6 linked regions of the Cricetulus griseus genome follow. The protein of the gene in region 6 purifies or fractionates together with the protein of the main gene of each other region. This does not show direct contact. Links are inferred from orthologs where the notes say so. Each region holds a gene or a part of one and is shown on either strand. Other genes may lie near its edges. The genes, in order: Znf451, Ssrp1, Smarca4, Ctcf, Srpk1 and Top2a.

Region 1 (4,007 bases), on a different chromosome or scaffold from region 6:
AATGTATCTTAAAATGAAACTATCACTAATCATAATTTAAATGATAGCACTTACATGCTCAGGCAAAGATCTATATACATTATAATACTTTATTCTTGATGCAAAGGCAGAAGTACCTTTGTACATTTAAAATAAAATGTAAATAGTACTTTTAAAATTCGTATCAACAAATACCTGAATTAACTAGTTACAAGCTATGTTATTTTATTTCACAAGATATAAAACAAAACATTTACCCCCACCCTGACAGGGTATCTCTGTGTAGACCTGGCTGTCCTGGAACTCACTTTGCAGACCAGGTAGCCTCAAACTCATGAGACCCATCTGCCTCTGCCTCCGAGGGGTGGGAATAAAGGGGTGTGCCATCACGTCCAGCTACAACTTACTCTTTGAACCTTACTCTTTACATATTCTATCAATTTCTCAAAAGGCCATATTTTATAATGAAGAGTTACTCCTTTTCTCTTACATGAAACATCAAGGTAAATATTCTGTTCATAAAAACTGTGATTCAGGAAGAATCTGAAATATTGGTCCTAAGGAGTCACTAAAACCTTTATTATAACACATTCATTACCAACATTCTCCTTTCTCCAAAATACTTCGGTTTGCTATGAAAAAAGGAACAAGACACAATGTATCTGCATACCTCAGTCCAGATCCTCAAAGTTGAAAATGAAAAGGACAGAGTGAAATGTGCAATGGAAAAACTGCCAAGAAAATAATTTTATGAGGACTTCCCTCAAAACCCCACTAAAACACCATACACAATGGATTGCCACAATGGCTCAATGTTGAGTAGGATCTTCTTCACAGATCACTATTTTATAGTTAGCCCAAACTTCCATATCCATATCAGGTGAACAATAAAGAACTATACAGTTTTATAATAGGCTGTAGCTAACTACAGCATTTCAGGAGAGCTGTAAAGAGCTGTAAGAGCAGGGACATTCTCTGGCTAGCTACTACTTTAAGAAGAGCCCAACATACAAACTTAACCACAGGTGAAAACCACCCAAAGCCGTTTGTCTTCCCCTTAATCATCACTTTATGAAGGTTGAGAGATCCAAATGTCCCAAGTTGTATTCCAAAATGACAATACCTAGGTTCCGCCCTGAAGTCCTGATTCAACAGATCTGGAGTGGGCCCAGGAATCTGCCTGCTCACAGTTAATGCTGGAAAACTACTGTCCCCAAAGGAATAAATTTAGAAAAACACAGCAATGCTCCAGGTGATGCAGGACTCCTCATTGTGACCAGCAATTGTACTGTGCTGTAACAAAATGACCTCAGAAATTAGGGACATCCTCAAGCTATCCTAGAAGATATACCACACTAAGATGCTGGGCTCCTCTTTGTTTGTTGTTGGTTGTTTTTTGATTTGGGGGGGGGGGGGATTCGAGATTGGGTTTCTCTGTGGCTTTGGAGGCTGTCCTGGAATTAGCTCTTGTAGACCAGGCTGATCTGGAACTCACAGAGATACGCCTGCTTCTGCCTCTCGAGTGCTGAGATTAAAGGCGTGTGCCAAAACCGCCCGGCAGACGCAGGGCTCTTTATAGCCCTTTCCTACTTCCTCGACATTAACTAGTCCTCTGTATATACATTTGGAATGCATTCTTGCCTCATTTCAAAACAAAAAAACAAAAAGCAGTCTTAAGAGACCAGACTTCAGTCCCAAGAACAAAACGGACACACTTAAATAAAGATCTGGGAGGGGCCATTGCATGCATAACAATTCTTCAGGCCATCCACTTTGTGATGCCTACTGTAATTGTTCCGGTATCCCTTCAGGTAAGCATCCAAGCATCTTTTCAGGTAAATGTCCTGTTCACCATTGTGTGGCAGCTATTCGACATTCATGACTATCTGTTGAGTGATGAATGTATGGTGAGGTTTAATCACACAATGGCTTACCATACTCTTTCAGTCCAGAAAACCGCGATTGTCAGCCTCTACTTACACTAACAAACTGAATGTCATCTTCATTTTCATCCGTTGTTGACTCAGATGCCTCAGGCCCAGCTGGTGGGGCAGATTCTATTATCTATAAACAAAAGCCAAAACACGCTTATCTACGCGGTCACACACTCGTAGAAGAAAAAAAAAATTTCTCCCCCCAAAAGAAACGAGTTAAGACAAAAGCCCCAGAGGGAACAGCGCGCATCACGCACAAATCCGACTCACAGAACTGCATGGAGGCGGGTTTTGCTAAGGCGTCTCGGAGCTGCAGAGACCTAGCCTTCCCAAGCGAGTTGCCACAATTCCCCTCCCCGCCTTCTCCAGGTGCAGGGATGCAGGCTCTAAACCTCCAGGATCCGGGGATTGCAGGCTTGTAAGGCAACGACGGCCTGCCTCTAACCGTCTCTCCCCCTCAGGGCTGCGGCTGCCACAGCTAGGGCGGCCGGGGGCTGGGGGCTGGGGGCGGCCGGACCGCCATTGTTGAGGGCTCCACGCAGACGTGCACAGGCCTGGAGGCCCAGCAATCGCCGCAGGCCGCGGCCCACCTGAGGCACCCACGGCCTAGAAGACAAACCCTTCGGGGTCGGGCTCGGCCGAGCCAAGGCCCGGGCCGCCACCACTCACCTCCGGCCCTGGGTCTCCCATTTCTCCCACGGTCTGTCAGCACCACGCTCCCGCCACTGCTGCTGTTCCCGACGCCGCCGCCACGACTTCCCTCTCGCCCTGCGCCGCCCGACCCGCCCTGCGTGAGCGCCCACGCAGATGACGCCTCAGGCCGCGGGGACGACGCCGAGCCGCTAGACCTCAAGCGCGGCCTCGCCGCCGCTAGCTTCCAGCGCCGCTTTGTACGCTCCCCGCCTTCCTCCCGCCCCGCAGAGGATCCTGGGAGTTGTAGTTTCCGCCGGCCTCGAAGCCGCCGACCGCGTGGCAGGGAAAGCGGGCGAGGACCTGGAGCATGGCGCTCACCTGCAGCTCCGGAAGATGGAGGAGGAGGCGGCGAGGGTCTTGACAGAGTTTTGAGTCCACGCAAAATCTCGGTCTGCTGCCGCCTTTTACTTGGGAGACACTGGCAGGGAAAGAGCGCCACTGCAAGAAGCGGGGAGGATGGAAAAATGGAGGACTTTTTCCTTTTATATCTTGGCAAGGGTGGCAGATGCAGAAGCTTATATGGCGTTTCTGAGAGGTCGTTAATTCTTGCAGCAGTCTCCCAAAGTGGCTTCCTTGTTCACAGGTCTCTAGACGACCCATAATTCCTGTAAACTAAAAGAAGCATTACTGATTAGGTCCCATAGTGCTGCCAGAGGTCTTTCATGTTTGTCTCTTGCTCTCTTCAGGCTAGGCTGAGCTGGTTCCTTAATTACTTGGAGAGTGGGACCCAGAAGTCTAGGCAAAAGAGGACCAGTGGAAAACAGACCTGGTAGTGTTCAGCTAATCTGTTCAGACCTTAATTGCTCCTACTGCCATAAAAGCAAAGCTCAGTGGTCTTTGCTTTGGGCCAGAAGGACGGTGACTGGAAATAATTTGTTGCCCTTTTCTCTCTCTCTCTCTCTTTTTTTTTTTTTTTTTTTTTTTGGATTGAGGTATGGAGTGGGTAGGTTTAGGTGAAGTCCAAGATGTGATGCCCTCTTAGGTAGTCACCTTTCTTATGGCTAACGCCAGCGCACCAGCAAGTATTGAATCTTGCTGAAGGACCAGATAGAGGAGCACAGCTGGAGTCCAGGGTTCAGCAGGAAAGGAAAAGCGCCAAAGACAGACTCCCTTCGTTAGGAAATGAACAGTGGCATTGTATTGTACCTTTTCAAGATATTCCCAGGCTCTATAAAATAAAACTGAACTTGTAAAAGTTGACTCATGCATTAGTCAAAACAACTATGGTTTTAAATTTTTTTCTCAAATAATGACTTGGAACAAAAGCCTTTTTAAAAAAATATATAAACAGAGGCTGGAGAGATGGCTCGGAGCTTAAGAGCACTCACTGGCTGCTCTTCCAGAGGACCTGAATTGAATTCCCAGCAATCATATGATGGCTCACAACCATCCGTAATGAGA
Region 2 (4,150 bases), on a different chromosome or scaffold from region 6:
CTCTGTCCTCCAGAATCTCATTGTGTCCCTAGCTGATCTCAAACTTGCTATGTCGTTACGTTTCAAACTCACAGTCCTCCTGCCTCAATTTCCTGGAGTGGTGTATACCACTGCAAAGTGGAAATTCACTTACTTCTAACTGCAGTTGGCAGCAGTGGCTGAAACACTTCTTGCTGTATAGAAATTTCTGAATTTTCTTTTTTACCCCCAGGTTACTTGAATCTTTGGTTAGGGTATGTGCTCCTGAAAGGTTGGGACTGTTTTAACCATCTTCAATGGTTTCCTCAAATCCTAGAAATGTGATGCTTTAACAATAGGCTCTCATTACATGTCTTAAACCCAGTTTGACTCAGTTAAATAGTGCTAGAAACAGCAGTGCTTAACCCAGGGGTTAAAGCCACAAATTCTAGATGGCAAGACTGCATTTTGACTGTCTCACATCCCAGGACTGAGTTAGCAAATCAGTGCAGTGATTGTCAGGAAAACCGTGAGTTTAAATATTCTGTCTTTATGCAGGGCACATGCTAGCAATTACTCTAAAGGTTGGACCCTCATGGTTATGATAAAAGGCTGATGTTAAGGAATCTGAATTCCGGGCTCTAGCTTTGATGCCAATGTACTTACACCCTGGGCAAATCTTTTGTGTGTTTCAATTTTCTCATCTGTAAAATGAGGAAGGGCGAGATAAACTCAAGCATCTCTTTCAGACCCGGCTTCAGATTTTGCAAGATGTACCCTGGCGCTATGTGAGGGCATCCGGGTTCTGCCAACTCAGGCTGATGTGGTTTCAAGTAAGTCCTAGCTCAAAGGTAAATCTGACACCAGCACTTGGAAGTTAATGCGGCCATCTGCCAGGCTCTTCCTGAGAACCCACATATTAGGGATATGGATGGGATGATGTTGGGGGTGGAAGGTGAACTCATTTCAGAAAGGATCCGATCCACTTGCCAGGATACAGCTGGAAAGCAAGCACAGTCACCGACACCCGCATTCCGTTTGCGGCTAGTGGGGGCGTCATTTTGGCCATAGGTCTGCATTTTCTCTTTCCAAAAGACTCCTTCCCCGACTATTTTAACAGGAGAGAGGGACATGAATGATTCCAACATACAAACAAACCTGAAAGCCTGATAAAACTTCATAGTTTCTCTTCAGAATCTCCGCTTTTTAGAAGGGTTTGCAACTTTCTAAAGAGAGCTCCCATTTCCTAGTTAACAATTCAGCCGCGTGGGATTCCACAGCAAGACCGTCACTAGCCCAAGGTACCGACGCTCTAGGAGACCGTCCCGTTGGTCCGCCCGGCTGGTGTCTTTCTAGCCAGGTCTTCCTCTCTATGGTTTGTGCGCGACTTCCGGTGGCGGGACGCGGGACCGCGCACGCGGGAAAAGCTTCCCCGGCGTCCCCTCCCCCGCATCCCTACCTCCTCCCCCGCGTCCCCCTGCGCCCACCGCCCGTGCTGTGCCGTCGCGAGGTTGCAGCTCAAAGAGGTGGGTGGTCGCGATCCCGGGTCCCGGGTGTGCATGGGCCCTGCTCCCCCGCGGGACGCTCGAGATGGATCGTTCCGCGTTCAATTTCGCCGGCAGTGGGCGAATCCATATTAAAAGGAGGGGGAGAAACGTGGGTCCAGGGGGTCTCGGGGTGTGGGATCGCTGGGGTCGGGACACTACTCTCCGAGCGAGTTGAGGTGCGCTCTCTGAGCAGGTCCCGGGCTTGCGCCGATTGTTGCCGTGGACTGTCGATGGAACGTCCCGAGAGGGTGTCGGGTTGGGGTGTAAGCGCCACTACAGGCCTGGTTCTGCACCTAGGGTCCTGGGCCTTGGCCTCAGGAACGCTGCAGAGCCGGGTCTGTAAGGTCCTCAGGCGCTGGAGAACTTGAGACGATCCAGTCTAGGCACAGCTATCCATGGGTGAGCGGGGTAAGGTGGTGTCTTTACTTGTTTATCAATCTCCTTCCTGAATTCAGATTCCCACCCTGCTGAACATCTACACACCTCACCAGGAATTGGGGCCCAGCTCCCAGAAAAGGGTTCGTTTGCTCTGGTGCAGCCTAGGGCTCTGTGCTCAGGCCACCAAGACAGGTGAATATGGCAGAGACACTGGAGTTCAACGACATCTTCCAGGAGGTGAAAGGGTCCATGGTGAGAATGACTTGGTCTTTTAGTAAATGTAGAAATCGGGAAGAGTTCGTGTCCATTAAGAAAAGCTTAACCCTGACTGCAGTTTTGGAAATAGGGTATCTGCAAAAGCAGCAGCAGAGTCTCAAGAGTTGTGCTCTTCAGTTTGAAGAGATTGCACGTGTAGATCTATCCTAAACTCCTGTGTTAAAAACCAGGAAACTGGGGTTAACAAGGCTGCGGGTACCAGAGCCAAGCTTTCGGTCTTGATTTGAGGTCTCTTGTGTCTTTTGACTTGATCTCACTCTCACCACTTGAACTGTTGCTTTTCCATTGATAATCTGGCCATCCTGCATCAGCACCACACAGGTGAGGGGTAAAGTGGACCTGCTAACACTGTATCCTGTTCTGAATCTGGCTCTGTATTTTGGACAGAATGATGGGAGGCTACGATTGAGCCGCCAGGGTATCATCTTTAAGAACAGCAAGACCGGCAAAGTGGACAATATCCAGGCTGGGGAGTTGACAGAAGGCATCTGGCGCCGGGTAGCACTGGGCCATGGACTTAAACTGCTTACAAAAAATGGCCATGTCTACAAGTATGATGGCTTCCGAGAATCGGTGAGAGATCTTGTTGCCATGACTCTCTCCTTTTGTAACTGCCCTGTCTTGTTTATTTTTAATCTTCTACAGACAGTTGGTGTTCTGATAATCATGTCATTGCTGGTTTGGGCTCCTCAGAGCAGGGCAACTGGAGACTGTTAAACAAAACACTACTGTCTGTTTTCATTGCAAATGTTATCTTGTGAATTTCTTTGTGCCCGGACTCCAGGTTTTCTCACATCTTGTTTTAGATAGTGGTTTCCACTTGCTCCTTCTGTCCTGGTTCAGAATCTTAGCTCTGAGATTTTGTTTTTCCATTTTGAGCTGTTTGAGTTACTTGTTTTTAATATCCAGTTTCATCAAAAGAGCACCTATACAGAGTTTAAAAACTCAGCAAGGTGATTCATACATCTGGGATTGGAAGTTCCTTTACTCCTCTCCCAACCTGGGTTTTTTTTGGGGGGGTATAAAAAGATATTTTTATTTTTTAAAAAATTATTTTGCTGTGCGGTGTTGGTGCATGCCTTTAATCCCAGCACTCCAGAGGCAGGCCAACCTGTCTAAGAGCGAATTCCAGGACAGCCAGGGCTAAACAGATTAGCCCTGTCTTGAAAAAAAAAAAAACAAACAAAGCAAAAACAAAACATCAAACACGCCTTTAATCCCAGCACTTGGGAGGCAGAGGCAAGCGGATCTCTGTGAGTTTGAGGCCAGCCTGGTTTCCAGAGCGAGTGCCAGGATAGGCTCCAAAGCTACACAGAGAAACCCTGTCTGAAAAAACAAAAACAAAAAAAAACAAAACACCAAAACTAATTTTATGTATATGAGCTTTGCTAGCAAGTATGGCTGTGTATCATGTGTATGCCTAGTGCTCTCAAAGCTCAGAAGAAGGAATTGGAGTTACAGACAGTTGTGAGCCACCATCATGTGGGTGCTGGGGAGCGAACCCAATCTTTTGGGAGAACAAGTACTCTTAACCATGGAGCCATCATGTGGCTAGCAGCCAGACGGTGATGGCTCATATCTTTAATCCCAGCACTGGGAAGGCAGAGGCAGGCAGATCTCTGTGAGTTCAAGGCCTTCCTGGTAAACAGAGCAAGTTCCAAGACAGCTAAGGCTGTTACACAGAGAAACCCTGCCTCCAAAGACAAACAAAAAAGATTAAGGACATCTGTGAGAGCATGGCTGAGGGCATCTGGGTCCCAGAAACAGCCTCTAGTAACAAAGCAAAATTGTTTTTAAACAGTTCTTTCGAGACAGGGTTTCTCTGTGGCTTTGGAGGCTGTCCTCAACGAGCTCTTGTAGACCTGCCTGTCTCTGCCTCCCGAGTGCTGGGATTAAAGGTGTGCACCACCACTGCCTGGCTTTTTAAAGGTTTTGAATTGACATGCTCAGTTAACTATGGTTTCTGATAAAGGATACATTGCTGAACTTTT
Region 3 (3,500 bases), on a different chromosome or scaffold from region 6:
AGCACAGAAACCTCAGGAAGAGACTCAACAAGCCTCCTGCCTTTCAGGAGCCCACACTTGTGTATGCACAGGATATGCATGGCCAGGTCTTACTGAAGTGTGGGCCATGATAGTGAACCAACTCTCCTGGGACCCTGATAGCCCCAACCACACAGGTATCCCAGATAACATCCCTCAAAGCATTCTGAGAACCCAGCATTTTCACTGGCAGAAAAGGCCTCATGAGCCCAGAGTTGAGGCCACCAGACCCACCTGCCTCTGGAAGTTCAGCAACCTAAGGGCCTTGAGTTCAATGGTTGCTTTGGTTCGCAGGTCCCCAGCCAGAGACCCAGGAAGATTTTCAAGTTCCTGAATTCGATGTGCAATTCGAGCCTGCAGCCTGGGCAGAGACAGAAAAAGGACAAGCGGTGAGGACTATCCATCTGCAAGTAATCACCTGGTCTCTGTCTTTAAAGCTAGAGTCTGTAAAGAATCTGTCCTTTGGGCTGGAGAGATGGCTCAGGGATTAAGAGCACTGCCCGTTCTTCCAGAGGTCCTGAGTTCAATTCCCAGCAACCACATGGTGGCTCACAGCCATCCATGAAGTCTGGTGCCCTCTTCTGGCCTGCAGGGACACATGCAGACAGAACATTGTATACATAATAAATAAATCTAAAAAAAAAAAAAAAAAATCTGTCCTTCAAAGGAGGGAGACCCAGCCCAACTGTAAGAGATATGACACCTGAGAAAGGGACTCCAGTTACAACAGAACAGAGGCAAGCAGCCTAAGAGTACTCTTGAGAACACACCTGCTGGGACCACAGCAAGCCTTTAACCATCCTTATTGACACACGTTGAATCACCTGGGAAGAGGAACCTCAAGTGTAAAGCTGCCTTGATCAGACGGGCCAGCCCACTGTGGGCAACAGGATTCTTAGAAAGGTAGGTCTGATGGAAGCTAGCTGAGCATGAGCTGGGACATGGCCAGTAAGCACTGTTCCTCCAGTCTCTGCATCAGGTACTGTTTTGCCCTGACTTCCTTCAGGAATGGACTGTTACCTGGAAGTCTTTGGTGAAATAAACCCTTTCCTCTCTACGTTGCTTTGGTCAGTATTTTATCAGAGCAATAGAAAAGCAAATTAGAACAGTGACTTAGCTAGGTGCTAACGCCACATGGGCAATGAGCTGTGACATCAGGCAATCCAGTTTCAGCATGACACACAGGGCTGTGGGAATCTCCATGGGCATCAATGTTTTGTCTGCAGGCTAAGGATATATCATGCACGCACGCCCACTAACCCTGTACCTACTATGTGCACCAGGGCAGTTTTCTCATGTGGAGCCTTAACAGTAAACAGGGGCTAAATGTTGCCTGTTCTCTTGTGGCTCACAGTCCCATTAGAAGAACTTCTATACAGGAATAAAGAAAGCAGTAAGAACCAGCAGCAACGCCACAGCAGCAAGTGCAAGGCCGAAAGGGAGCAGTATCAGGTGCCTCAGCAGTGAGGCCTGGATGGCCAGAAGTTCTAGGACAGCCATGAGCCTAAGAAAGAGATGAAGAACATCCCCTGGTACCTGGCAATCAACACTGGCAGTGTAGCACTTGGGTGCTTACCTGTACTCTCGCTCCTGTAGGATCTCCACAGGGTCCAGGCCCCGGGGCTTCTGTATGGGGGTGATGCGGCTCTGCTTCTGGTGCAGAGGCACCAATGGAGCAGGCTGGGCGGGCTGCCCTGGGGACTGTGTTTGTGGCGGCATCACAGGAGAGGCAGCAGGTGGGACAGCAGGAGGTGCAGGTGAAGGGCGGCCTGTTGGTTGGGGGGGAATCAGCTTCTGTGGGGTGCTTGTGGGGGCAGCAGCATTGGCCATGGGTCCTGGAGAGGCAAGCGGGATATGCTGCTTGAACTCTGGGGCCATGGGACTGCCCTTCCAGACATTCCACTTCTCTCTCACCCAGGCCAGAATCTAGACACCCCCATCCTCCAGCTCAGCTCTCCCACACCTGAGACCTAACCATCCAGTATTTGGTTTATCTGTGCTTGGCTTCATAGGGACAGCATGCCCCTGTCTTTCCTCTAAAGCAGTCCACTCCTCCCCTTTAGTAGATTCATCTCTAACATTTCAATTACCCTTGGTCAATGGCAGTCTAAAAATATTAAATGGAAAATTCCAGGAACAAACTATTGCTAGGTTTCAATTGAGTGATGTTCTGAATAGCTACACCCAAATTATACGTCTGCATCATTCACCGTTTCCTCACAGCAGCACCACAAAGGCAACTTCAGTGTACACTGTCCTGAACACATTCCAGCTTACTCTATCATGACACTGTCTGATGAACAAAACGTCATCACAGGCAGTGTGTTTTGCTGCTATTTGTATGCCAGGTATTCACTGAGGGTCTTGGATAGCTTCTATCTCAGATGGAGAGAACAGCTCTTATTTCACATCCAAACAAACTAGATTTTAATATACAATGAACCTCATCAGACACCAAGAGAGCAGGCAAGGTCCACTGTCCAAACATAGACCTTGAAATACCCAACTAAACTTCCAGAGGCACTTCTGAGAGGACAGGGCCAAGGCCACACACAGTCAGCAGAAGTACCGACCTCCACTGGGAATGCTGTCTAGAGAGAAGGAAACCATGCTGGACACACCTCTCCCCTCAGCTCAGAAGTACCTTGTCCTGAGCAAGCTTGTCTGTGTTCAATTATAGCCAGCCATTCTCCTTGAGTCAGATAGTAGACACATTCCCTGCCTTCCTTCTCTGCTGACTAGTGTAAGGAGATTGCAGGACATTCCCCACCTGCCTGACAAGGAGGATAGGAAGTACTCTGCAGATCCCAGCTGAACCCCACAAAAAAGCCCAAGGCTTCTTCTGGGGTAAAGGAGTGTAGACCAATCTCTGGGGTCCAACATAGCTCAGGCTCATGACAGGAGATAGGGCATGCCATCAGAGAAAAGAAACTCACCTTCAGGCCATGGTTTGGGGGGCCCTCCAGGAGGCTGACCAGGCATCCCAGGGGGCACACCTGAGGGTCCTGGGGGAGGCATGTTGGGCCCTCCCATACCTACATTCAAGGAAATAAAGCACCATAAATGACACTGTGTTCAAACCTGCTGGCCTACGCTCATGTCAGCTCAGAGAACACCCACACACCACAAATAATGCCAGAGAGATGGATAAAAAGCATTTATCTCAACATAAACCCATCCATCTCAGCAGTCCCAAGTACCATCATCTGGGAGCCAGCCAGGGCTGCCTGCCACTATCAACCAAACAACACCATCCCCACTCCAGGGGCAGTGCCCTTACCATGGGGCCTATTGTAATTTGGAGGAGCTGGTCCTGGACCTGGGCCAGGGCCAGGGCCAGAGCCAGGCCCAGGTCCTGTGGCAGACACTGAGGGTGGAGGTAGTGTTGGCATCTGCTGCTGCATTCCAGGCATTGGTCGCTTGCCTTGCACGGCCATCTGCAGGTGGTCAGGCAATGGCTGGCCCCGGGCCAACATCTTGTA
Region 4 (3,500 bases), on a different chromosome or scaffold from region 6:
CAAATTAAGAATTGACAAGCAGCAATTAGCAAATCCAACACTGATTTCATGTGATGGGTCACAGTAAAAATACAGGTACACTGTAAGTAACTACATAAAATTATCTCCAGTTTGTGTGCACAATCTTATGCTTAGACTTCAGTCCCTTTGCCAAGATGTCAGTACATTTATGCAAATAGTCTAAACTCCAAAACAAGGGGGCGGGGGGCTGGAGAGACAGCTCAGTAGTTTAGAGTGTGTACCACTCTTCTAAGGACCCACACTAAGTTCATAGCAACTCACAACCAAAACTCTGTAACTCCAGCTACAAGGGATCCAAACTTCTTCTGGCCCCAGCACTCCTGTGTACCAAATCACCACATACACATACATATATAGTTAGAAAAAAAAATAAATCTTAACCCCCTGCCAACCACAAAAACCCCCACAAAGCCTGGGGAAATGCTTGAAGCACCTTTCATGACAAGCATCACTGATAAGGGATACACAACTTGTACACTGGCATAACATGTTGCAGTGTGTTCAACCAATGGTTCATGCACAGAATTTTTTACTTTTGTATACTTCTTTATCTGGTCTCTCTCCACTGAATTCTCCCTATTCTAAGGTCTTCAGTTAATACTAGTTGATATTCTCTAAGGTTTAAAAAAAGAATTTGTGCTGGGCGTTGGTGGTGCACGTTTTTAATCCCAGCACTCAGGGAGCAGAGGCAGGAGGATCTCAAGGCCAGCCTGGTCTCCAGAGCGAGTACCAGGATAGGCTCCAAAAGCTACACAGAGAAACCCTGTCTCGAAAAACCAAAAAACAAACAAACAAACAAACAAAAAAAAAAACAAAAAAAAGAAAAAAAAAGAAAAAAAAGGAAAAAGAATTTGATTTGTAAGAGATAACATTTTGAGGGATTAGCAAAAAACGATCCAGTGGGTAAATGCACTTGTTGGTGACCTGAGTTTTATCTTCAAGATCCACATGGTTGAAGGAAAAAAACTGATTGAGTGGCAGGAATGCCCGACTCCCAGTAATAATAATATTAAAAAAAAAAAAAAAAAAAAAGGAAAGAATAACAAACAAAAGCCCAAACAGCTGGGTATGGAGGAATAGGCCTTTAATCCCGACACTCAGGAGGCAGGGGCAGGAAGATTTCTCTTGAGTTACAGACCAGCCTGGTCTATATTGACCCTGTGTCAAATAATTAAAAACAATAATTTTGTCTTCTTATAATATATATCATACTTATTTTCTTCAATAAGCTGTAATAAAGATCCTAGATTTTTTTTTAAGAGAGGGTCTCAATCTATACCCAAGACTAGCTTAAAACTTGCAGTAATCTACCTCCCCTTAACCTCCTCAGTGCTGGAATTACAGGCATGATGGATCACTTCAGTGATTCAGAGTTAATTAACATGGATTTACTCTGGCTTTTCCCTAGTCTTGTTAGGACTTCACACAGTGATGAGAATTGAATTTTATTGTCCCTTTTCCAGCTACCTATAAAGAAATACAGACTACTGAAATAGTCTTGTTTTGGATATACTTAACAACAACTTATTTTTTTCAATATAATACTAGATTTGGTTGCACACCATCCCCCCCATTTTGGTAGCATCCTTATCCAGTTTGAGTAGTAGGGTAGACTCAAATAATGAAGTCAATAATGGTTCCTACCTTCCTTTTTTCTCTAAGTGATGGGAATCAAATTCAGAGCCTCATGAATGCTGGGGCTTGGCAAGCACTGTACCACTGATCTATAGCTCCAACCTCAAACCTTCCATCATTGCAATTATTAAAACAGAGTCTTAACTATATTCCAGTATGCTTCAAACTCAATACCCAGTCCAAGTAATGCCAAACTCATAATTCTCAGCTACCCAATGCTAGAATTAAAGGGATACACACCAAATCTTCCATTTTTAAATGAGTAGTTATTTCTTCAATGCATAAGAGCATTTTCTTGTACTAATATATGGAATTTTTTGTTTTTTGACATAGGGTCTCTCTATATAACCCTGGCTGTCCTGGTTCTCACTACGTAGACCAGGCTGTCCTTAATCTACCTGCCTCTGCCTCCCAAGTGCTTGGATTGAAGAAGTATACTAACATACCTAGCCCTAAAATTGGTATTCATTCATTCTTTTTTTTTTTGGTTTTTCGAGACAGGGTTTCTCTGTGTAGCTGAAATTGGTATTCTTATATACACACACAAAAAAAGTCTAAGAAATCTCTTTCTCAAAAAAAAAAAAAAAAAAAAGAAAAAAGGGGGCTGGAGAGATGGCTCAGAGGTTAAGAGCACCGACTGCTCTTCCAGGTTCTGAGTTCAATTCCCAGCAACCACATGGTGGCTCACAACCATCTGTTATGAGATTTGGTGCCCTCTTCTGGTGTGCAGATATACATGGAAGCAGAATGTTGTATACATAATAAATAAATAAAATCTTAAAAAAAAAAAAAACCGTGGTAATGCTAACATATCCAAAACAGCTTCTTTAAAAAAAAGAAAAAAAAAAAAAACAAAAGAAAAAAAAAAAAACTAGACACTCACTTCTACACTGGCATAGTCACACATGGAACACTTAAATGGCTTCTCGTGGGTGTGTTTATAACGACGATGCCGCACCAATTCTCCACTGGTCACAAAGGCCATGTCGCAGTCTGGGCACTTGTGAGGACGAGTACCTAAAGGAAGAAAGAATTAAGGGCACAGTAAATGACAGGGTTCAATGTGTGACTCAAAGCTGTTGCATAAGCTGTACAAGCTACAGGAAGGCCTGAATGAATTTTTAGCATTAGCCTGTAGCATGTGAGGACACATGCTAAACTTTAGTTTCTACTATTTTTTTTTTAAGATTTTATTTATTATGTATAAAACATTCTGCTTCCATGTCTATCTGCACACCAGAAGATGGCACCAGATCTCATAGTGGATGGCTGTGAGCCACCATGTGGTTGCTGGGAATTGAACTCTGAAGAGCAGTCAGTGCTTTTAACCTCTGAGCCATCTCTCCAGCCCTAGTTTCTGCTATTTTATTGAATAGAAAAATCCTTCCTAGCCAGGCAGTGACGGTGCACGCCTTCAATGCCAGCACTTTGGAGGCAGAGGCATATGGATCTCTGAGTTGGAGGCCAGCCTGGTCTACAGAGTGAACTCCAGAATAGCCAGGGCCATACAGACAAATCTTAACTTGAAAAATGAAAAGGGGAAAAAAAAAAGAATGTATTTAGGAAAAAAAAAATCACAATGCCAAGTACTAGACCAGACACCTGCCAAAATGATTTTCTTTGTTCTTTCTTTCTCTTTTAAAGATGGGGTCTCAATACATAATTTTATAACCCAGGCCTTGAACTCTTTTTTTAAAGATTTATTTATTAGGTATACAGTCTTCTGTCTGCATGCCAGCAGAGAGCATCAGATCTCATTCAAGGTGGTTGTGAGCCACCATGTGGTTGCTGGGAATTGAACTCAGGACCTCTGGAAGAGCAGCAGTCAGTGCTTTTAACTACTG
Region 5 (3,500 bases), on a different chromosome or scaffold from region 6:
GCTTGATGAAACAAAAGTACCTTAAAATTCTTATATAGCATTATTTTTCATGAAAAAAAAAAAAAATGTGATGGCTGTGAACGGAGGATTTCCATTCAAGAACAGCCTAGACTACATAGTGAGGTCAAAGTCAGGGCTACATGGTAAGTCCTTGTCTTTATTTAAAAAAAAAAAAAAAGCACATCCCTTAAAATTTTCTGTGCTCATCCCTAAAAAGTATAGGACCTTTATTTAATAACCACAAAGCTACACATTGTTTTTAGATCTTGATGTTCCTGAAAAGGGGAATGAGTATATTCTCAAGAGGACACAGAAATAGCCATAACTGGTGCCTGTGTCTTGAAGCCCAAAACAAAGAAAATGAGTTTATTACTATTTACCTCCAACAAGGACACAGATTCGAGCATACAAACCTGCATCTTTCTTTGGCAATGAATTATCCCCTGGTTGATTAAGAATAAGATAACTTGGTGACTCAGTGCTTGCTGACTGATCAACTGCTATGTCCTTTATCCTGAGTTCCATCCACAGAGCCCATGCAGGAAGAGAGCTATTTTCTGACACACACACACTCTCTCAATAAAACTGAGGGCTGGAGAGATGGCTCAGTGATCGAGAGCACTGACTGCTCTTCCAGAGGACTTGGGTTCCATGTCCACACCCACATGGCAGCTCCCAACTGTCTGTAATTCCAGTTCCAGATGATCAGACACCCTCTTCTGATCTCTGCAGGCACTGTGCACATGTGGGGCACACACATACATGCAGGCAACACATTCATACACACAATTTAAAAATAATACAATTGAAATTGAATTCTTAAAGGATACGTGTTCCATTAACACCTGATATTTTAAAGTCATCCAGAAGCTGAACAACCATTTCTCCATTTGGATCATTCGGGTCTGAATTACGAACCTGTATTGGGAAGAATCCATGTTAGCACAAGTGGAGCAATCCAGGGAAGTTACTGCTGTTACCCAGTTCACCACAGAAAGGAGAAGACAGGTAAGATAAACTTGTGTTTCCAGGTAAACCCAATCAAAGACACTAGACTTGTTCTAGGTCAGGGGTTCTCAACCTATGGGTCACAGCCCCTTTGTTAAACCTCTATCTCCAAAATATTTACATTATGATTTGTATGAGTAGCAAAATTACAGTCATGAAGTAGCAACAAAAATAATGTTGACGTTGGGGGTCAGCACAACATTTACAATTGTAGAAGGTTGAGAACTGCCGTTCTAGGCTGTGTTTCTTTAGATAGTCTTACTGTGCAGCCTTGGCCAGCTTCTAACTCAAGAGATCAGCATGCTCTCTGCCTCCCAAGTGCAGGGTGTAAGGGCGTGCACCACCACACCAGGCAGGCTACGTTTTTATAACATGAAGCGGGTACTACAAACGGATGAACTTTTCTTTTGACACTCTTAGCAGTGCTGTGTGTCACATACAACATGCACACTTGATAAATGCTAACCACTGCATTTATCAATGCCTATAACATGCAGGAAACAAATATCTTCCTCTATGGCTCCAAGGAGCCCCTGAGTCTGCACTAGCCCTAGTCTACGTGATGCTGAGACCTGGCAGAGGCACCATGGCCACATGGTGACCTCAAACTTACCGATTTCAGCAGTCGGATTTCATCTAGTGCCGTTTCTGTGTAATGTTCAGCACTTTTAACTACTTTCATTGCCACAAACTTCTTTCCCCTAAAAAAAACAGACAATTCAGACTAAATTATCTGACCTTCACCTTTATAGCTAAAAGTCTAATGGTAACTGAGAAAATGAAGACTATTGTGCGTCTAAGAGTGGCACAAACTGAGCTAAAAGAAGCCATGCCAGGCAATCTCAGACACTGGACATCTTCTGAAGTTAACGTCCACCTTCTGATTACGGGAACAGCTAAAAACTACACCACAGTTAAGAAAATGTTACAGTAAAATAATTTTTCATTGGTCAGTCTAATTACCTGGAAATTTAACTTTAAACCAATGATTTTCTATTATGCAGCATTAAATATGTGTACAGACTTGAGCCTGGCAGTGCCACCAGCTTTACTGACATTGATTTAGTCCATCTCTTGCCTCAGTGGTGCAGACTGGTAAGCTGACCATGCCTCTGCAGGAACTTGTGTCATAATGAAAGCCAATATGTGTAATTAGCATGTGAATGCTAACTATGAAATAAAAAGAAACTTAAAAAAGGGAATCAACCTAGAGACAGACCTAGATCATCTCTTAGAAGTCAGAAACATCAAGGTTTATCTAATTCCTTCCCAGAGCCACATAAACTTACTGAATATCCCATGATAACCACACTGTTGAAAAGTGTCCCCAGCCCAACTTTCGGATCACATGGTATCTCCCGTTAAATAGATCTCCGATTTTCACAAGATGATAACCTCCTGGAAAAGATGGGGGTAATCAGAGGAACCAGGACAAAGCGCTCTCTCCTGCAGCAGTCACACACCATTTACTAATATCTTTGAGATCAGTTCAACATGAGACCCTTCCTTCAAAGCTACTGTTGTCACTCAGCTCTCTGTGAGGTCACAGCCCACAATATTTCGGGTCCCTCCAAAACCCAACAGATCTATTACAAAACAAATACTGGCCATCTCACATAAATGTTTAAAGGAAGAATAATAATACCATTGATTTAACTGAAAATCAGAAATCAGTAAGATCTGTTCTTCTAGATATAGGCCAACATGGGAGTTCCAAGCCAGCTACACAACGAGACCCAGCCCTGTCCTCCCTATCAAAAACAAACAAACAAAAAAAACAAAAATAACAAAAAAACAAAAAATAACAAAAAAAAAAAAAGAAAAAGAAAAAGAAAAAGGGAAGCAACAGAGAGGGCTACCTCAGGTACACAGACAATGCTTGCTGGGAAAAGGTCCACATTCTCCTAGTCAGCACAGAGATTCTCTACGCTGTCTATCCTAAAGACGAGGGGAGGCTCACCAGAAACACAGGGCAGCTGGATCTGATTGCCCAGTTACACTCAGCTGCCATCACCATGAGAAAAAGTATTTTTAAAAACCTATGTACTGGGGCTGGAGAGATGGCTCAAAGGTTAAGAGCACTGACTGCTCTTCCAGAGGTCCTGAGTTCAATTCCCAGCACCCACATGGTGGCTCACAACCATCCGTTATGAGATCTGTCTGCAGAAAAAAGGAGGGAGGGGGTGGGATTGGTGTGTAAAATTATGTACCAGCTGAATGTGGTGGTGCCCGCCTACAATCCCAGCACACAAGGCCAGCTGTAGCAGTCAGTGTACCTCACCTCTGACATTTTCAAAGGTAAACATGGACTGCTACTTTCAAAGGGGAAAAAAGATTTATCTTTTCCTAATTTTCATTTGTTTATTTTGGGAGACAGGGTCTATCTACATAGCTCTGGCTGTCCTGGGACTCAATCTGTAAACATGGCTGGCCTTGAGCTCATAGAGATCTGTCTGCCTCTGCCTCACGGCTGCTGGGATTAAAGGAGTGCA
Region 6 (3,500 bases):
GAAAGGTATCATAAGGAAAGTCAGGATGCCACATAACCAGACTAACTCTCTTTTTCTTGCTACATGTACTGAGATCATGGAGACACAGTCAAGATGACTTTCTTCAGACTCTGATGATGTTTAAAAGAGTTATGAGTAATTTTTTATGGCTGAAACAAAAATGCATCAAATCATAGGTTGAACACTGTATCCATACTAGAACTGTCTAGTTCTATGTGATGGAATTCTACCTACACAACTGAAAAAGAAACACCTTGCTACCTCATTCATATCTTAGTAGACATAGGAAAGGAGGTAGAGGCACACTTTTGAAAACATACCCATTTTAGCTTAACATATGATCAATAAATTCTGTCATGCTGAAGTGAGCATATAATTATGTGGAATCCAAAAGAATCTCAAGCAAGATTTTAGAGACCAAAGAAATAGACACAAAACATAGATAAATCAGAGAAGAAAACAGTGTCATGAGATGGTCATCACTGAGACAGTATATAGAATATAAAGCTGATGGCCACGTAGGATAGTCTTATAAAAAGTCTTCCCCAAACTAAATTCAGAGGGGGTTAGAGAAGAACTTCAAATAACTTTAAAATGAACGGGGCTCAGTAAAACCATTGCTAAAACAATACTCTCCCCATCAGAAAAGATCATCATCATCTGACTCCTCCAGGTATTTGATAGGCTTCTTTGCTCGTCCAGATTTTGCTCGAGGAACCATAGTTTCATCTAAGTCCACTCGGAAATCCTGATTCTCTCCCTTGGATTTCTAAAAAGAGAAAAAATGCAAGCAATTTGCATATAGGGTCATTCCACATCACTCCAGACTTCACCAGCACCTCCTACTAAGTAGTAAGAAAAAGGTCCAAAGCAACTGTTCCACTAACTGATAGATTTAACTTTCCTACAGCTAAATTACACATGGTACAAAATAACGAATTCTGAGGTTTAAATTTAATTCCTTAAAAATATGCAAAATTAAGAGCAAATCCTAAGTTGGATATTTCAAGTTTCTAGAGCAAAAGGATTAAGTAGCAATAAATACCTTGCTTGCAGCAACTTTGGAGACTACTTTCTCAAAATCAGAGTCAGAATCATCAGAAGAGGACTGCTTCCTTTTGCGGCTGTTCTTGGCTTTGGCAGGCACAGGCTTTTCAGGGCCATGAGCATTCAAGGCTGAATCCGATTTGCTTCCTTTTGGTACAGCTCTCTTTTTGGTACCAGCAGTGGATGTTGAAGACTGGCCTGTAAGTCAACATGAGTACTGGTCATAATCACTCTTTGGTGAGTTTTCTCATTGTGAACTATCTTGAACATCACCTTCTTTTTTGAGACAAGGTCTCACAATGACCTAGAGTTCCTAATTAAGCTGGACTGGCCAGCAAGAAAGGCCCCAGGGACATTTACCACTGCACCTGGTTTATGCTGTGCTGGGGATTGATTCCAAGGCTTCACAAATTCTAGCCCAGCAATCTACCAACTGAGCCACATCCCCAGCTTTGATTTCTAAGTTATCCCCCCCCTCTTTTTTGGGGGGATTTTTCTCCGTGGCTTTGGAGGCTGTCCTAGAACTAGCTCTTGTATACCAGGCTGGTCTTTAACTCAGAGAGATCCACATGCCTCTGCTTCCTGAGGGCCGGGATTAAAGGTGTGAGCCACCACCACCTGGCTTCTAAGTTATTTTATATTGGATTACTTCCAACTGCTTATAAATTCTTTCCTTATGTCATAGAGATGAGCTAGATAATGTCTGGAATCTGAGTAATGCCCTGATTTCAAAATACTTTTGTTTTTGTTTTTCGAGACAGGGTTTCTTTGTGTAGCTTTGGAACCTATCCTGGCACTTGCTCTGGAGACCAGGCTGGCCTCGAACTCACAGAGATCCGCCTGCCTCTGCCTCCCCAGTGCTGGGATTAAAGGCTTTTGCTACCAATGCCCTGCTCAAAATACTTTCAGAGTGATCCACCTGCTTCTGCCTCGAGAGTGCTGGAATTAAAGCTATGTGCTACCATTGCCTGGCTATTGATTATAATTATTTATTGGAGTCTTGCCTATATGAGGGTGCTGGTTCCCCTGCAACTGGAGTTACAGACAGTTGTGAGCTGCCATGTGGACGCTGGGAATTGAACCCAGGTCCTTTGGAAGAACAGCCAGTACTCTTAACCACTGAGCCATCTCTCCAGTCCCCACAACCTTTTATTTTTTATTTGATAATGATGTAAAAGACACCACTTCCATTAGGATACTGTTTAGTTTCATCATCATCAGTAGACATTTTCAAAATAAAAACTTAAAACTGTCTTTTCCAAGTCAGTTAATCCAGTAATCAACCTTCTAACAGATCTAGGCTTACTTTTGGTGGCTGTCTTCTTCACTGCCACAGTCTGTTTGGAAGATGGCTTTAACTGTTCAGTGTCAGCTGGCAAGTCAGCAGCAGGAGGGCCTGGAGAAGCTGGCACACTGTCCTTTTCATCACTTTCAGGGTCACCTATTCCAAACAGGAAGGGAAATGGTCACAAAATTTAAAATATTCCACCTGCAACTCTGTCCCTGACAATGGATTCCCATTTTAACTAACTTTCTGGGAATATTTTAAATACCCTTAGAATTTAGCTGAATTTTAAATTCTTAGTTTTTGGGGGACAGAGCTTTGCTGTATGTAGCACAGGTTGGCCTTAAACTTGCAATCCTCTTGCCTCTAAGTCGAGTGCTAGGACCACAGGTGTGTGCTGTTGATTGAAGTTGGGTCCTCACACTTGCTTAGCACACATTTACTGAGACTCCCAAGCACCTAATCATTTTCCTCAGATACATACCAGACATGGCACTCTTTTGTGGCTTCAGTGCTTTCTTAGTATTTCTAAAAAAAAAAAAAGAACACACATAGAGAAGGCATCCTGACAATCAACCATTTCTACATGTGTCAAACAAAGATCAATAATACACCAACGACTATCAAAATAGTCACAACTAAATTCTGTGTTGATAGAATTCTTACTTTTGGGGAATTTTGGTCTTAGGTGGAGTAGTATCTAGTGGGAAAAAATCTTCATCTTCATCCTTTCCATCAGAACCTGAGAAATCTTCATCTGAATCCAAATCCATCGTGAATTTGGCTTTTGCTGTTAGGAACCAAAGAGGATACAGACATTTAAACACAGGCTGACTTAACATTTTGTTTTTCAAATTTGTGTTTGTGTGTGTGTGTACTCGTGTGCCATCATAGCGCTCATTTTATTTTATGTGCATGAGTGTTTTGCCTGCATTTATGTTTGTATACTATGTGCATTCCTGATTCCCATGGAGGCCAGAAGAGGGAGCTAGATCCTCTGGAACTAGAATTACAGACAGCTGTGAGCTGCCATCTGGGTGATGGGAATCGAACTCAGATCCTCTGGAAGAACAGCCAGCGCTCCTAACCACTGCGCCATCTCTCTAGTCTCTGACTTAACATTTTAGGAATATATATATGCTTCAGTTTAACTACAATTTTTTTTTGA

What was found.
Region 1: the proteins of Top2a (region 6) and Znf451 purify together in Homo sapiens (affinity purification with mass spectrometry; 3 studies listed by BioGRID and IntAct, with this or other methods). This does not show direct contact. The link is inferred for Cricetulus griseus from reciprocal best matches to the Homo sapiens genes TOP2A and ZNF451.
Region 2: the proteins of Top2a (region 6) and Ssrp1 fractionate together in Homo sapiens (co-fractionation; 3 studies listed by BioGRID and IntAct, with this or other methods). This does not show direct contact. The link is inferred for Cricetulus griseus from reciprocal best matches to the Homo sapiens genes TOP2A and SSRP1.
Region 3: the proteins of Top2a (region 6) and Smarca4 purify together in Homo sapiens (affinity purification with western blotting; 3 studies listed by BioGRID and IntAct, with this or other methods). This does not show direct contact. The link is inferred for Cricetulus griseus from reciprocal best matches to the Homo sapiens genes TOP2A and SMARCA4.
Region 4: the proteins of Top2a (region 6) and Ctcf purify together in Homo sapiens (affinity purification with mass spectrometry; 3 studies listed by BioGRID and IntAct, with this or other methods). This does not show direct contact. The link is inferred for Cricetulus griseus from reciprocal best matches to the Homo sapiens genes TOP2A and CTCF.
Region 5: the proteins of Top2a (region 6) and Srpk1 fractionate together in Homo sapiens (co-fractionation; 3 studies listed by BioGRID and IntAct, with this or other methods). This does not show direct contact. The link is inferred for Cricetulus griseus from reciprocal best matches to the Homo sapiens genes TOP2A and SRPK1.

What each region holds. Positions count from the first base shown.
Region 1 is NW_023276807.1:14,160,683-14,164,689, reverse strand, and holds the start of Znf451 (E3 SUMO-protein ligase ZNF451), read right to left. Parts: upstream 2,801-4,007; 5' UTR 2,604-2,800; coding exon 2,583-2,603; intron 2,044-2,582; coding exon 1,960-2,043; intron 1-1,959. UniProt on the Homo sapiens protein: E3 SUMO-protein ligase; has a preference for SUMO2 and SUMO3 and facilitates UBE2I/UBC9-mediated sumoylation of target proteins. Plays a role in protein SUMO2 modification in response to stress caused by DNA damage and by proteasome inhibitors (in vitro).
Region 2 is NC_048599.1:90,498,068-90,502,217, reverse strand, and holds the start of Ssrp1 (FACT complex subunit SSRP1), read left to right. Parts: upstream 1-1,350; 5' UTR 1,351-1,484; intron 1,485-1,960; 5' UTR 1,961-2,081; coding exon 2,082-2,135; intron 2,136-2,546; coding exon 2,547-2,732; intron 2,733-4,150. Other genes in the region: P2rx3 (P2X purinoceptor 3), read right to left, coding at 1,109-1,139. UniProt on the Homo sapiens protein: Component of the FACT complex, a general chromatin factor that acts to reorganize nucleosomes. The FACT complex is involved in multiple processes that require DNA as a template such as mRNA elongation, DNA replication and DNA repair.
Region 3 is NC_048597.1:134,519,547-134,523,046, reverse strand, and holds part of Smarca4 (transcription activator BRG1), read right to left. Parts: coding exon 3,299-3,500; intron 3,054-3,298; coding exon 2,955-3,053; intron 1,854-2,954; coding exon 1,595-1,853; intron 380-1,594; coding exon 253-379; intron 1-252. UniProt on the Homo sapiens protein: ATPase involved in transcriptional activation and repression of select genes by chromatin remodeling (alteration of DNA-nucleosome topology).
Region 4 is NC_048596.1:181,950,439-181,953,938, reverse strand, and holds part of Ctcf (transcriptional repressor CTCF), read right to left. Parts: intron 2,674-3,500; coding exon 2,540-2,673; intron 1-2,539.
Region 5 is NW_023276806.1:233,721,655-233,725,154, forward strand, and holds part of Srpk1 (SRSF protein kinase 1), read right to left. Parts: intron 2,407-3,500; coding exon 2,298-2,406; intron 1,710-2,297; coding exon 1,622-1,709; intron 919-1,621; coding exon 831-918; intron 1-830. UniProt on the Homo sapiens protein: Serine/arginine-rich protein-specific kinase which specifically phosphorylates its substrates at serine residues located in regions rich in arginine/serine dipeptides, known as RS domains and is involved in the phosphorylation of SR splicing factors and the regulation of splicing.
Region 6 is NC_048600.1:112,071,888-112,075,387, forward strand, and holds part of Top2a (DNA topoisomerase 2-alpha), read right to left. Parts: intron 3,123-3,500; coding exon 2,999-3,122; intron 2,861-2,998; coding exon 2,817-2,860; intron 2,489-2,816; coding exon 2,354-2,488; intron 1,246-2,353; coding exon 1,046-1,245; intron 770-1,045; coding exon 641-769; 3' UTR 1-640. UniProt on the Homo sapiens protein: Key decatenating enzyme that alters DNA topology by binding to two double-stranded DNA molecules, generating a double-stranded break in one of the strands, passing the intact strand through the broken strand, and religating the broken strand.